3 linked regions of the Caenorhabditis elegans genome follow. The protein of the gene in region 2 interacts with the protein of the main gene of each other region in a pairwise test. Each region holds a gene or a part of one and is shown on either strand. Other genes may lie near its edges.

Region 1 (2,945 bases), on a different chromosome or scaffold from region 2:
TTTTGTTTTACTCTTAATGGGTTCCAGAGTTGCTTTGATGGGTTCCAGTAATAATCAAATAATACTCGTTGAATTAGCGTCCGACTTACTGGAGATCATAGAATTCATTTGATTTTCACAGAAATCACTTGAAGATTTATGTTTAATATTGTGACATCGAATCGAATATTTCCTAGACCTATAGTATCGAACTGTTATATCAAACCACAATCAGAACTAATTTAGACAAGTTGATTATGTGTCCAATATTGCATCTATTGGAACAATAGGATTTATGAAAGTTAACAATAAATGTTGAATGCATAAATAGACAAATCAAGTAAAATTATTCTAAAGGTAATTTTCAAACATTTCCACGTGCCACTGACACTCAAACCAACCAATAGTTGTTGGAGTATTTCTTAAAATTTTTGAAAAGAACATTGAACAGTTTTAACATTTATTTGGCAATTCAAACAGCAAGAAAAAACATGGTATATTAAATTGATTAGTAGTACAAAAGGTATACAAAAGCTTACATATTAACTCAATATGGTCTTGGATATCCTGGATACTGTCCGGGTGGAGGTGGAGGATATTGCCCTGTTGGTGGTGGTGGGTACATACCGGCTGGCGTGGCTCCGGTTCCAATTTGATATGGCTGCTGTTGTGGATAGCCTGGTGTGCTTGAGTATCCTGGGTTGCTTGGATACATGTTAGTTTGATAGGGTTGCTGTGGAAGTGGAGGTGGTTGTTGGTTGTACGCCGAGTATCCTTGGGTTGGGAGTGGTGGGGCTTGTTGGACATATCCACTAGGATTCACTCCAGCACCGATTCCCATAGGTGGTGGGGGTGCATATGTGGCTCCGTAAGGTCTTGGTGGCGGTGGAGCATATCCAACTCCGGCGCCAACTGGTGGTGGAGGGGCTCCATATGGAAGAGGCATAATTGGAGTAACACCGAAGCCAACTGGGGAACGATAAGAACCGTCACTAGAGGAAGAACTTGAGGAGGAAGAACTGCACGTGCGACGGCCGTACATCTGAAGAAAAAGTGTAAGTTGAGGGGTTTAAAAGGGAAAAAAATCAAACAGAAAGGTTGAAAAACGATCGATTGTGAGTTGTTAGTTTGCGATCCGCCTATTGCCTCAAAAACGAGAAGGTTTCACAATGTGATACGGTTATCAGTTTGCATTGTCAGAAGAAGTTTCTCGTTTTTCCATAGAGAAGAGCAAACAATGACGTATATGGAAACGAATGAACAAAAAAGAAACGAGGGCGTTTTCAGTGTATATTTTGAAACTTTCTTTGCAATCCATGAGTCATGAGGATAGATCATGGACATGACCTTCTGGATGATTCAATGGGAAGGAAGATTACATTCATTTGAATTTATAATAGGAATAATATCGAAATGTCAAACTGGAATGCCAATCAAATACAAACGTCAAAAAAATTATCAGGAAGAATGGAAAAGATCAGGGCAATATTTTAAAATTCAAAACTTTTTCTTGAATTAAGCCAGTCTGCTCTCCGTCGGTCTTGTTGTAAGTTAAATCCAAGCTTCGCTCGACTTTTCAGGAAAGACTGGCTGTAGTCTGGAGGTAAGAAATGCTGACCTTAAGTTTGACCGCGACAACCATCCAGACTGAGCCATCCGGACAACTTTCAACCCTATTGGGTCTGTAAGTTTCTTTTACAATTTTAACAGACTTTTGAAACTCAATTACGATTTAATTTTGTTTTTCAACTTCAATGAATTTTATTGTGTATTAGTTCTTGAATCCGTGTAATTTTAATAACTATTTCAGTCCGTTTTGCAAACCAGAAAGGCCGATCAATACACTTCCTAGCTAAGATTTTCTGCGCCTATGCATTTCGCACCTGTTCTATTCCGAACATGTTTGCGGATCAGTTCTCTGACCACCTAGTGTCTTCACATGATTTTGACATTGGAAACATGTGGCCGAATGGTCTAGTGGTATGATTCTCGCTTTGGGTGCGAGAGGTCCCGGGTTCAATCCCCGGTTCGGCCCATTCCTTTTACTCTTTTAAGCATTTTCAGCATGTAACTTTGAAAACTTGTATTTTGATCGAATCGTGAGACACATTCAGTAAAATTATGGGGAATTGTAAGAAAAGGCTTTGAATATTTTTTTATGTATTATTAATGTATTTGATCGCGGAATACATTCATATTTACATCATCTTCTACGAGTTTAACAATTTGTGAAAATTATAATAATTATGAAAAGTAATTTGAATTATATTAAAACAATTTCTCACGATTAGCAATTTTGATTGTTAGAAATCCTATTCCTAACCAAAACTTTCGAAAAAGTCATACTCTGCATTTTCAAGGTCAATGCTTACTGCGTTCAGAGTTTTCTTGTTTAGTAGAGACGCAGATAGACTTGTTTATTGGTTTGTGACTAGTCGACCACACGCAGAGCGCTATTCACGAGAGCGTGCATGTGTAGGAAGAGGCGTTCACGACGAGACGTGGCCGGATGGTCTAGTGGTATGATTCTCGCTTAGGGTGCGAGAGGTCCCGGGATCGATCCCCGGTCCGGCCCACTTACTTTTTTCCTTGTAGCGAATGGTTATATGCTTTTGATGTATTATGCATATGGTTATTTCAGGAAAACTACAATACATATCAGCTCGAAACGTGGCCGGATGGTCTAGTGGTATGATTCTCGCTTAGGGTGCGAGAGGTCCCGGGATCGATCCCCGGTTCGGCCCGCTTAATTTTTTGATGTATTTTGTTAAGTGTTTTTATGATTGTTTGGAATTATAAAAATTTAGTTGATATTTGCGAATCTGAATAAAAAATCAATACAATTTTAATAATCATTTTTGAATCTCTCATGACAAACTTTATAGAAAACAATTCTCTATTTACAAAACCGGAAAAGCAACACAAGGTATAAAAAATGAACACTTAAATATTAAAATAGCATAATG
Region 2 (4,875 bases):
ATTTATAAATTATATTTTTTGAAGCAAAAAAGAGACAGTCAAGAAGTTCCAAATAATGTTGGAACTCATGGGTTACTCGTCTAAGGTATATTGTGCAATCCAAACGAATTCCACGTTCTTGCTCTGAAGCAGTTGCTCTCAATACGTTTAGTTTGGGATTTTATGAATTTTTCGTCTTTCAGGCCTTTTCTTTTCTCAGAGCACCACTAGACACGTTTGTATAAGGACTTACTAGAAGTTTGTCTTCCAAAGTTGTCTGTGTTCTGAAAAAAATGTTCTCATTTCCTAATTAATTGTCAAATTAGACGAGAAAAAAAAACTGTTTCAATCCCAATTACCCAGTTACCATTCAGCGGTTTTTCCGTCATCATCTTTTTTCATCGTCTTCTCACTTCCAAACACAGTCTCAAATCTCTTCGACGTTCATAGTATTTCACAAGTTTAGATTGTCTTCTGAAGGTCTCTGATCTTCCCTTCCGTCACGTCCTCGAAAAATGAGGTCATTTTCTGAGCGGGTGGTGATGGAAACAAGATTTGAGAAGAGACTTAGATGACAAAGAAACCAAAACAGAAGGAAGTCGAAGTGGAACACGTGGGTTCTGGATTAGAGGTTTTTGCTGAAATTCGGAGGGAAACTAAGAAGTTTTATTTTTAGAGAAGTGATTCAAGTAAAACCTTTAAAAATTGAATTCTAAAAATGTAATTGTAATGTAGTAAATGATTTTGACGATCAATTTATCAGTTGTCCTCAAAATCTGATATCGTTAAAAATTTCAATTACAGCTTCACTTTTTTCTAGGAATCGGTTTTCAAAATCATGTGACAGCTTCTCAGCTTATCAGCTGAGCTTCTCACAATTTTGTCACAAAAACAAAGTGCAAAGAATTTGGAGTGAACGAGATTAGAAGGTTAATCATTTGAGCAAATATCAAATAGTTTCCCCCATATTCTCTCTTTCTATCGAATATATTTCTTTGCATGCGTATTTTCTCAGTTTTACCTCACGCCGGTAAACACGTCTTCTATTGCCCATCTACATTTAACCTTCACCTCTAAACATCCCTATCTTAATCTTAATTCGAAGTGGTATTTGGGTTTTTGCGGGTTCTTGTTGACAGCTAGATATGTGTTGGATAGCGAACATTTGTTGGGTTTTGAGAATTGTATCGAAAAACATAGCTCATTGGATTCCGTCGATCAAAATGAACTTGAAAAAAGATCTCAATGTTAAAGTTTTGGAAATTTTTGGGCATTGAAAGTTAAAATAAAGTACCGTGATCGCTATCCCAAAAACTACTTCTTTTGATTGACCCTGAGTAATTTTAAATTGGATGTCTAAAACATAAAAAATGTTAAAGCTACCGTATTTCCTTTATAAGTTGTACTCCCCGTTTCTTTGACAACCCACAGAATAACTTATTTCACAATTTCCAAAAATAATTCTCAGAAACATTTGAAAAAAGTAATGAACCAGTTTTCGTTAGAATTTTGCCATACTGAAGCTAATGATAGGAATACGGTAGTAAAAATTCGTGGAATTCTAAATTTTCTGAAGTAAAAATGGGTCCACATTTACGGCTTGTGTTATTCGCTGCTTGTGTCTATAAAACTTAATGTTTTTTTTGTTGTTTTTTTCAAAATGATTAGAACCTTGTGTTTTTGATGTTGTCTGACTATCAATCAAAAGTTTGGAAAATCCTTAGGAAAAGCTTTGAGTCAAACCAGTCAAAGGCTTCCAAGTCGGTACAACTAGCAGCCCTAACTATATCTCGATTTCATTTTCATAAGTTTTTTTTCTTCATCCGAATGTTCTCCATCATTTTCCACACATTCTCGATATATTCATTCTCTCAATTCTTGCAGTGTTCGAAAAAGTGAGTTCGTCGCAAAAGGGGCGGTCTCATTGTCGGCTGCTGCGCGGGTGGCGGGTCGACGTCTCGACGGTCAGCAGCCTCACCAACCCCGTTGGTTTGCGTATGTACCCAAGGACGCACTGACGATTCCCTACATTGATGAATCGGCAAACGTCTCATCCAGGCAAGTTGTTTTTTTATTTAAATTAATATTTAAATATCTTAAATTGAAAACCAGCACAACAGTTGTCCGAAGTTCCAATCTCACCTCATTCCCAAGTTGCCAAAAAATTTGGCATTGAAATATACTATCTTTATCATCTTTATCGTATGAGATACTAGTACGATAGGTTAACAGGAATGAAAATACCAACTATTGATACGACATTCAGAGATAAATTAATTTGGATTTTGAATGTTCTGAATGTAGAAGTAGAACATGAGCTTAGATGATTCTAATTTTGAAGTTCTAAAAAATAAAACAGCAAATTTTTAAATTTCGAGGGACTAGAAAATTAGCTGCTTGCTTTTTTGTTACAGAAATGAGTATGATTTTCAAGTTTTTCATGGATAATTTTTGAAACCTCCAAAAACAAATTTCCAGTACAAAAAACCTCAAACTATCAAGTTAATTGGATAAGTACAATGCTTTTTCAATTGTTTGTGCATTTTCGAAAACTCTTTATCTATTCTTAAATTAAAAAATGAAACATCAAATAATTTAATTTATTTTCCTCTTCAAATAATGAGTCTGACACCCCATCTCGATTTCACTTTTATTGAAACTCTGTAATAAATTAGTAGGTCAAGCTCATCAATCCCGGAAGCACTGTGTGACAGTCGGGGGTGTCTTGTTTCTCACAATGTCTCCCACAATCGAGACACGAAGTGTTTATACTACACAGGTCAACCCAATTTTGTTTGTTTACGTAATTCTATCGAAACTGCTCCTTTTGTTTTGAAAATGACGTGGCACAATGGGCGCCGAGGTGACCATGGCGGAGGAGAAGCTTAATTAAAATCGAGGAAAATTTGAAATCTTATTTGAATTGAACTGGAAACATTTTAGGAATCCGCAATTTTCTAAAATTTTAATTTTATTATTCAAGTTTCAGATACCGTTCAATATGTTTTGCCAGACTATTATTTCAATTTTCTAGATTTTTAAAAAATTAAATATACAAAGTTTTTCAAAAATAAATTCTTTAAAAAATTCCTACCTGCAACATGATAACTTCAGAACAACGACTACTACTCATACGAGTATCTGACGGAAACTACGATGAGAACACAAAACTAGTCGTCACCTCATTCTACCCACGCCGTCAGGAGGATGCCAATAATAATAGCACATCACCATCATCGGCCTCCTCATCCGGATCTGAAATATCAACTCGTCTTGTAAATATAACTCCTGAAGATGTCGTCAAATTTTTCGACGAGCATCCAACCTCATCATATATATTCACAAAAGGTCCAGAACCAATCAGACATGTGCTCATACCATTGTTCGCGAGAAACGAACTTTGTGTTCCACATCCACTTCATCATTATTATGATATCAAACATTTGTATTACGGTAATCAAGAAGAAGATGGTATGGAACAAGAAGAAATTGAAGATGACGTAGCAATTGCCAGGGCCATTTTGGATATGGATGACGGTATGTGTTTCATAAAATCGATTTAGGCGAAAACCTATTAAAATTTGAAGTGTTCAGAGCCACTAATTTAGAAAAAAATTATGACATTAAATCACATACAGCAATGATTGCTCTTACATTGAAAATTATTTGACTATTATTAATTCAAGTAATTGATGTTATTTTTGAGTTGCATTCCTATATCCATCGTTTGTAGTTTGATTACTTGCTTCGATGATTCTGGATAAGATAGATATGGTGGTAAAAGAATGCCCTACTGCTGTGATGAATGGTTTCAAAGCGGGAAGGACCTGTCACCTTTTTGGTGTCCTTTCAAGGGCCACACCGCCCGTGTTTGTCTCTTCTTTTGCCTTCACCATTTTCTTTTTGGAATGGGGTTTTCTATTGTGTGAGATATTGAATGGGAAAAAATACAAGTGGGTGATCTTGGGATAATGACTCGGTATGGGATTCTGTGACTTTACACATAAATTATTGTTTCAAGACAAAATAAGATTTTGCGAAGAATGTTCGATGCAACATGGCTAGTAGGGATCAGGGGCATTTGAACAAAATTTCAAGTTTTTCTTAAAATATTAATGATGTCCAAATAAATTGATAGATGTTGGCAAAATTCAAATGTTCCTATGTATGTATTTTACATTAAAGGTTCTCCTGATCATCTTGTTTTCTCTACTTCTCACCTTCCCACACTTTCTCTCAATCACCATTCGGGTCTCTTGTGATATATTTTTCCATAGAATGTAAACAGTGCGTACCAGTCAAGGTGTCCGAATGGATGATGGCTCTATGGCTCACCGCGCGCACAAAGGAGGGCAAACATGTGGAAGAGACGGTCCGTTTCTATGGTAAAATATGAAGAGAAATAGGAAGGACAAGTGAAAAAACGAGGAAGTTTTGGCAATTTTTTGTGGTTAAAAATTCGGTTTTCGAACAGTTCATATGTAGTATACCTACGTAGGAAATTGATGAGATAAGGATATTGACGGGAAATAGAAAGGGATCAATTTGGGAATGAAAATTGAAATCCATCGGAATATATTACAAATTAAATAAGATCATGTTTATTTTCAGAACTTCTCGAGAAAACCCATCAATTTGTGAATATCGAATACCAGCCTGCACCGATTCTGGAAGATCAAGAAGTCGGCGCCGACGGAGACAATGTTGTATGTAGAGCCCGTGGATTACCATGGCAGGCTTCTGACCATCATGTTGCACAATTTTTTGCTGGATTGGATATTGTGCCGTGAGTGTTTTTTGATTCAAATATTGTCAGAATAAATGTGGCATTTCGGTCATTATTTTTGAATTTTATGTTCCAAAATTCGATAAATACCTGTACAAACTCCAGTCATA
Region 3 (4,845 bases), on a different chromosome or scaffold from region 2:
GACGTGAAAACATTTGAAAACATAATTATTGATTTCAACGTACACAAGGGAAGATCAATAAACCACGATTATAAAATCTTGCGAAGACAATCATTTTAAACTTCTACGAGTTTTGAAGTCTTCCAACTTGCACAAAATGGGTGCAAAATCATCAAAAAAGGCGAAAATCTCGCCACCAGCGGATCGATATTATACAAAAGTCGATATTGAATCTGGTCCCGCCGTTGTTGCAAAGTCTCAAGATTTCATATTGGAAGTGCCGGTCATTCCAGAAACATGCGAAGAATCGATTCCCGATTCAAGAATCTCTCGTGATGTCTCCGAAGTCTCACGTGTGTCTTCTGGAAGTGAGGTGGATGTTACCGGAAGTGGCGTTGACGATGAACATCTTGATATACAATCCAGTGATGATAGTGTTGAGTCGATATTTGATCCATTGTTATATCTTGCCAATCAGGGAATTGATGTAACTCATTCCAATATAAGGGAACTTGTATGCTCGGAAAACTATCGAGAATTTTTGAAACAGCGTAAAACCATGCTTACACCAAAGGAACTTTTCGAACTCGAACATGGAAGAATTCCTGGGAATTATGGTAAATCAAAACCAAAAGAAGAGATTTTGAAGGAAATTGATGAACTTGAATGTAAAGCTGATGATTTATTAACTGATTTGAGTGATGATGAAAATGGATGGCCAAAGTATGATATGAATGCTCTTCTTGAAAAATATGAAAATCACAAAGACTCGGAGCCCAATTTATTGATTCCAACAAAGGAGGATTATGAAAGAGATAGTGAGTTTCAGTTTATTTCATCGCAAGTATCGTTATTTTATTTCAGAAAAAACCTGCTGTCAGCAAGTTCTGAATAGCTACGAGTTTGACATGGTAGAGTCTTCAATCAATGGTCATGGGTTGGAATTCGAATGTCTGGTAAGTGAAATTATAATTAATAAATGCACTATAACTCTTTCAGGGCCCTGACGCAACTCGAACACAAGATTTTTGGACTCAGTGCCATAAAGATCGCATCAGCTTGATTACAATGTTTGGAAAGTTTTTGGAGAAACGAGGGGCCAACTGTAAGCAATATATTCCTGACGATAAACAAGAGATTCTCAAATGTGGACAGATAATTGTACGACGATTGACAGATCCAGAATATCCATATCGACATTGCAAAATTCAAAAGTTTGCAGTAAGATGCAAACTAGTGTAAGTTAATGTGTTCAGATTACTAATACTGATTTGATTTTAACTTTTAGACCAGAAAATTATGGTTGGTATGTTGTTTGGCACTGTCAACGAGATATTCAAGAATATCCATCAAAAGATTATACAAAAGAAGATGAAGAGTTTGAGAATCTTCGAAAAGATCTTTTGAATGATATGGTAAGCTTTTATCAAAAAATAAATAATAAATCTTATATTTTTAAAGCCAACTCAACACTGGCTTTTTCATGGTCCAATGCAGTTCAGTCCTCTCCGGGATAGACTTGTGGAGCGTAATTCATATCTCATTGAAAAGAAAGGATCCAGTGTTCCAGATTTCGTGACACAACCTATTCAGGCGGCCAACGCTAGGTTTGATTTCGATACCGTGAAATGAAAATCGAACATTCTTTATAGAAAGGCTCTCTACGAAAAATCTTGCTATTTGGGTTTCCTGACCTCTTCATCATCTCAGATCTCACTGTCTGGATGCCAATCAAGACAAATTGGCGGAGCTGACGAAGTTGAAAATCTCGTTAAACTGGAAACCGAGGAATTTGATCTACAGAAATCGCTCGGCTCATATCCAATTCAATCTCAAAACCGTCTGAATAATGTCATTCAAATTTATGCCAACAGTCCAGATCCAGAACAGACACAAGACTTTTGGCAAATGATTCTACATAAAGGAATTCCAACAATTCACACTATATCTGATTTAGACCCGGGTAAAATTTTAAACCTCAGATTTCAAAAAAAAATTAAATTTCAGAAGAAACTGCAAACTGTGCTTCCTATTTTCCCTACGGCAGTGAAAGTGAGAAATCATGCGGAATTTATACTGTTAAACGACTCGGAATTGAGACTCAATTATCGATGAACCTGAAGAAACAGCAACTTCTGATTTTCAAGATGGGAGAGTCTGAGTATCAAAATGTTGTTAATGTAACTCATTTCCACGAAATCGTCAAGAATCAGGTTACTGATTCGAAAGTTAGAAACATCGAAATAATCAATGAGCATGTATCACGTCAGGTTTGAATGATTCATTTATTTGAATTTATAACCATATCCTTTTTAGTCAAATCCTCAACTTCTGATTCATGGTCCCTAAGAAAACAACGCAAAGAGTTAATATTGAATACGGTATTCTAGATTTTTATGGAATTTTAATAAAGTGATATGGCTTTATTATTTTTGAACTGAAAGCATTGACCTTAAAAAAGAATAAGAGGGAGAATTGAAAATGTGAACAAACTCCAAACTTGCAAGTAAATACATCGAAGTGATGGTGAAAGGAGGAGAACATAATTACATACTTTGTCGGTATTTCTCTGACGGTCTCTCCAGTGAAGTCTGCACTATTTCGTTATTGCCCGATATTAACACCCGTGGTTACCCACATTCATCGATGTTAAAAAGTAGAGGAAAGAAGAATTCAATGGGAACTGGTTCAGATTTAAGAGATTACTGTAGGATTATAAAGCTCCGAACAAAGTAGGTAAAGGGGAAGAGGACCGAAAATAAAAACAATAAAAGGTAACATTTGTAAAAGGAAATTGAAGGATGGCCTTATGAATGCACCTTATGAATGCACCAATTTTCCGGTACATTGCTTGCATGATGGAATAATAGAATTGTCCGAGACACGAGAATAAAATTGGTGAAAGGATATTGGAAGAACTTTTCTCAAGTTAATGGTTTTCTACTTATTTACAGTTAAATACAAATTTTTAAAAGAAATAACAGCTTACCTGACAGCTCCTAGCACTTGAAGAATCGATTGGGTGGCGTGAAGACAGGAATACGGCTGGAAATTAAACATTTAAAACTGGAGTCATTTTTGAATTAATAAAAATCTATAAAGATAAAGTGAGCTAAGAAGCATAAGGTGTTTTATTTGCGAATAAACAAATGAGAAGAAACCGAATCGGCTGGATGGCAAGTTACGTAACACCTAGGCAGTCGGCATACACTTTCATTTTTCAAATGTATTGCAATGAGAAGGTCATCGTTGGAATGCGGCACTAAAAGAAATAAGAGGCAAGAATATTGAAAGCATACTTTCAATGAATGAATATTTTCCAATGGCAAGGTTTTTTAAATTTCAGTATTTTTCAAATAACTGACTGAAATTGTCCACATTGACAGAAATTATTTTGAATGTGATATCACTTGTTGCTTCGATTTGAGAAGCTCAGATTGTTTGGAAAAATAAGTTCATCGATATTTATAAGCTACCTCGTGTAAAAATGAAAATCTTCTCTTACTGGGGTGAGAGTTGCACCTCAAAAATATGAATAATTCTTGGAAAAATTGACACGAAAGTATTTTGGATAGGGTATTGGAAGGGTAAAGAGTATTAAGAAAATTTATTGGAAAAATTGAAAGTTTAGAATTGCTCAATCTGAATTAAGATTATATTAGAGAAAGAAAACGAGATGTGGGTTTTCCAGAAATTCGAGGAATAACAAGAGAATTTGGCAAATCCGCGAATCGAATTAAATATTAATTAGGGTTCGCATTTTCAGATTTTCAGAAATATTTTGAGCGAAAAGATTCATGCTAAATGTATTTTCGATGTAAAACACAAGTTTTCTGGAAAAGTGCTCGTAAAAGCTGGCTTCCCTATCGTATCGGTATAAATATATGTCAACTTTACATATTTCAAATTTATTGTAAAGTTCAATAAATTTTTCCAAAAGTAATGTCTCACTGCACGGTAGAGGGAATGAAGAAAACTATGAGTCCTCTACCACCACTAAATATGAATTAATACATGCCGCGTGCAGATTTAATTATAGTCATCATCTTCATACACCCTTTCTTTTAGTATTCGAACGAGAAGCAAAGGAAGAAGGAATAAGCTTAAATGAGTGAGAAGTGGACGAAGAGAAAGAGTGAAAGACATGATGATGAGCTCAGGAAAACTTATATGACGATAGATTACGGATTAGAGAGATTTAGACGGACAGAATGACAGGCGGATCAGTTGTAACGATGCCAGGTGACCTCTTATTCTTCTTTGCCCACTTTTCCGCACCAGTTGTTGCTATTTGAGGCCATCGGGAAGCACTAAAGGACCCCGACTTTGTCTCAATTGATTGGCTCTAAATGTCGGATTTCCGTCAAGAATTTGAAAAAATGGACGCCGCAAAAAACCTTTCTAGAAAATATCATTAATTGCAAAGACTTGATGAGAAGATAATCTCTTCGGTAACTAACTATGTTCAATATGGAAAACAATCCGAATGTAATTAGAGAATAAACACTTATCCATTCGATGAGCAGCTCAATATAGAACACACGCGAATAAAAATTGGAAAATCACTGGAAAGCCATCACTGACAACATGTGTGCGCGCGTATTTTCTTCTTTTTCCATCATCCGTCTCCGTTCAATCAACACTATCTTTTCGGGGTTCCCATGATTCGTTTTATGAGGAAAAAATGAAAGCGGAAGGCAAGAAAATGGTGAAAGGAAACAGAACGATATAATTTCTAGTGACAGGTATCTGGAGAGATGTTGAGTTGATCATCTAGTTGAGTTAAATTTGTGAAAATGATTAACTTGAATGGGAACTCGAGATGTTTTTGATATTTATTCGTCGGATTATCACAAGTTTCTGCAT

What was found. The genes of interacting proteins can lie anywhere in the genome.
Region 1: the proteins of sym-2 (region 2) and C16B8.3 interact in a two-hybrid assay, tested with the Caenorhabditis elegans proteins (one large-scale study listed by BioGRID).
Region 3: the proteins of sym-2 (region 2) and asd-2 interact in a two-hybrid assay, tested with the Caenorhabditis elegans proteins (one large-scale study listed by BioGRID).

The regions. Positions count from the first base shown.
Region 1 is NC_003284.9:3,967,614-3,970,558, forward strand, and holds C16B8.3 (Annexin A7), read right to left. Parts: upstream 1,022-2,945; coding exon 527-1,021; downstream 1-526.
Region 2 is NC_003280.10:9,185,469-9,190,343, reverse strand, and holds the start of sym-2 (RNA-binding protein sym-2), read left to right. Parts: upstream 1-2,012; coding exon 2,013-2,037; intron 2,038-3,093; coding exon 3,094-3,516; intron 3,517-4,590; coding exon 4,591-4,765; intron 4,766-4,875. Other genes in the region: twk-4 (Potassium channel domain-containing protein), read left to right, coding at 1,864-2,037, 3,094-3,124.
Region 3 is NC_003279.8:6,889,118-6,893,962, forward strand, and holds the start of asd-2 (K Homology domain-containing protein), read right to left. Parts: upstream 3,027-4,845; 5' UTR 2,969-3,026; intron 2,406-2,968; exon of another isoform or gene 2,329-2,405; coding exon of another isoform or gene 2,296-2,328; intron 2,250-2,295; coding exon of another isoform or gene 1,987-2,249; intron 1,943-1,986; coding exon of another isoform or gene 1,632-1,942; intron 1,587-1,631; coding exon of another isoform or gene 1,441-1,586; intron 1,395-1,440; coding exon of another isoform or gene 1,268-1,394; intron 1,218-1,267; coding exon of another isoform or gene 979-1,217; intron 936-978; coding exon of another isoform or gene 844-935; intron 798-843; coding exon of another isoform or gene 137-797; exon of another isoform or gene 85-136; intron 1-84. Other genes in the region: C48B6.4 (Tyrosine-protein phosphatase domain-containing protein), read left to right, coding at 137-797, 844-935, 979-1,217, 1,268-1,394, 1,441-1,586, 1,632-1,942, 1,987-2,249, 2,296-2,328. UniProt on the Caenorhabditis elegans protein: RNA-binding protein that binds to the 5'-NACUAAY-N(1,20)-UAAY-3' consensus sequence in pre-mRNA introns to promote alternative splicing.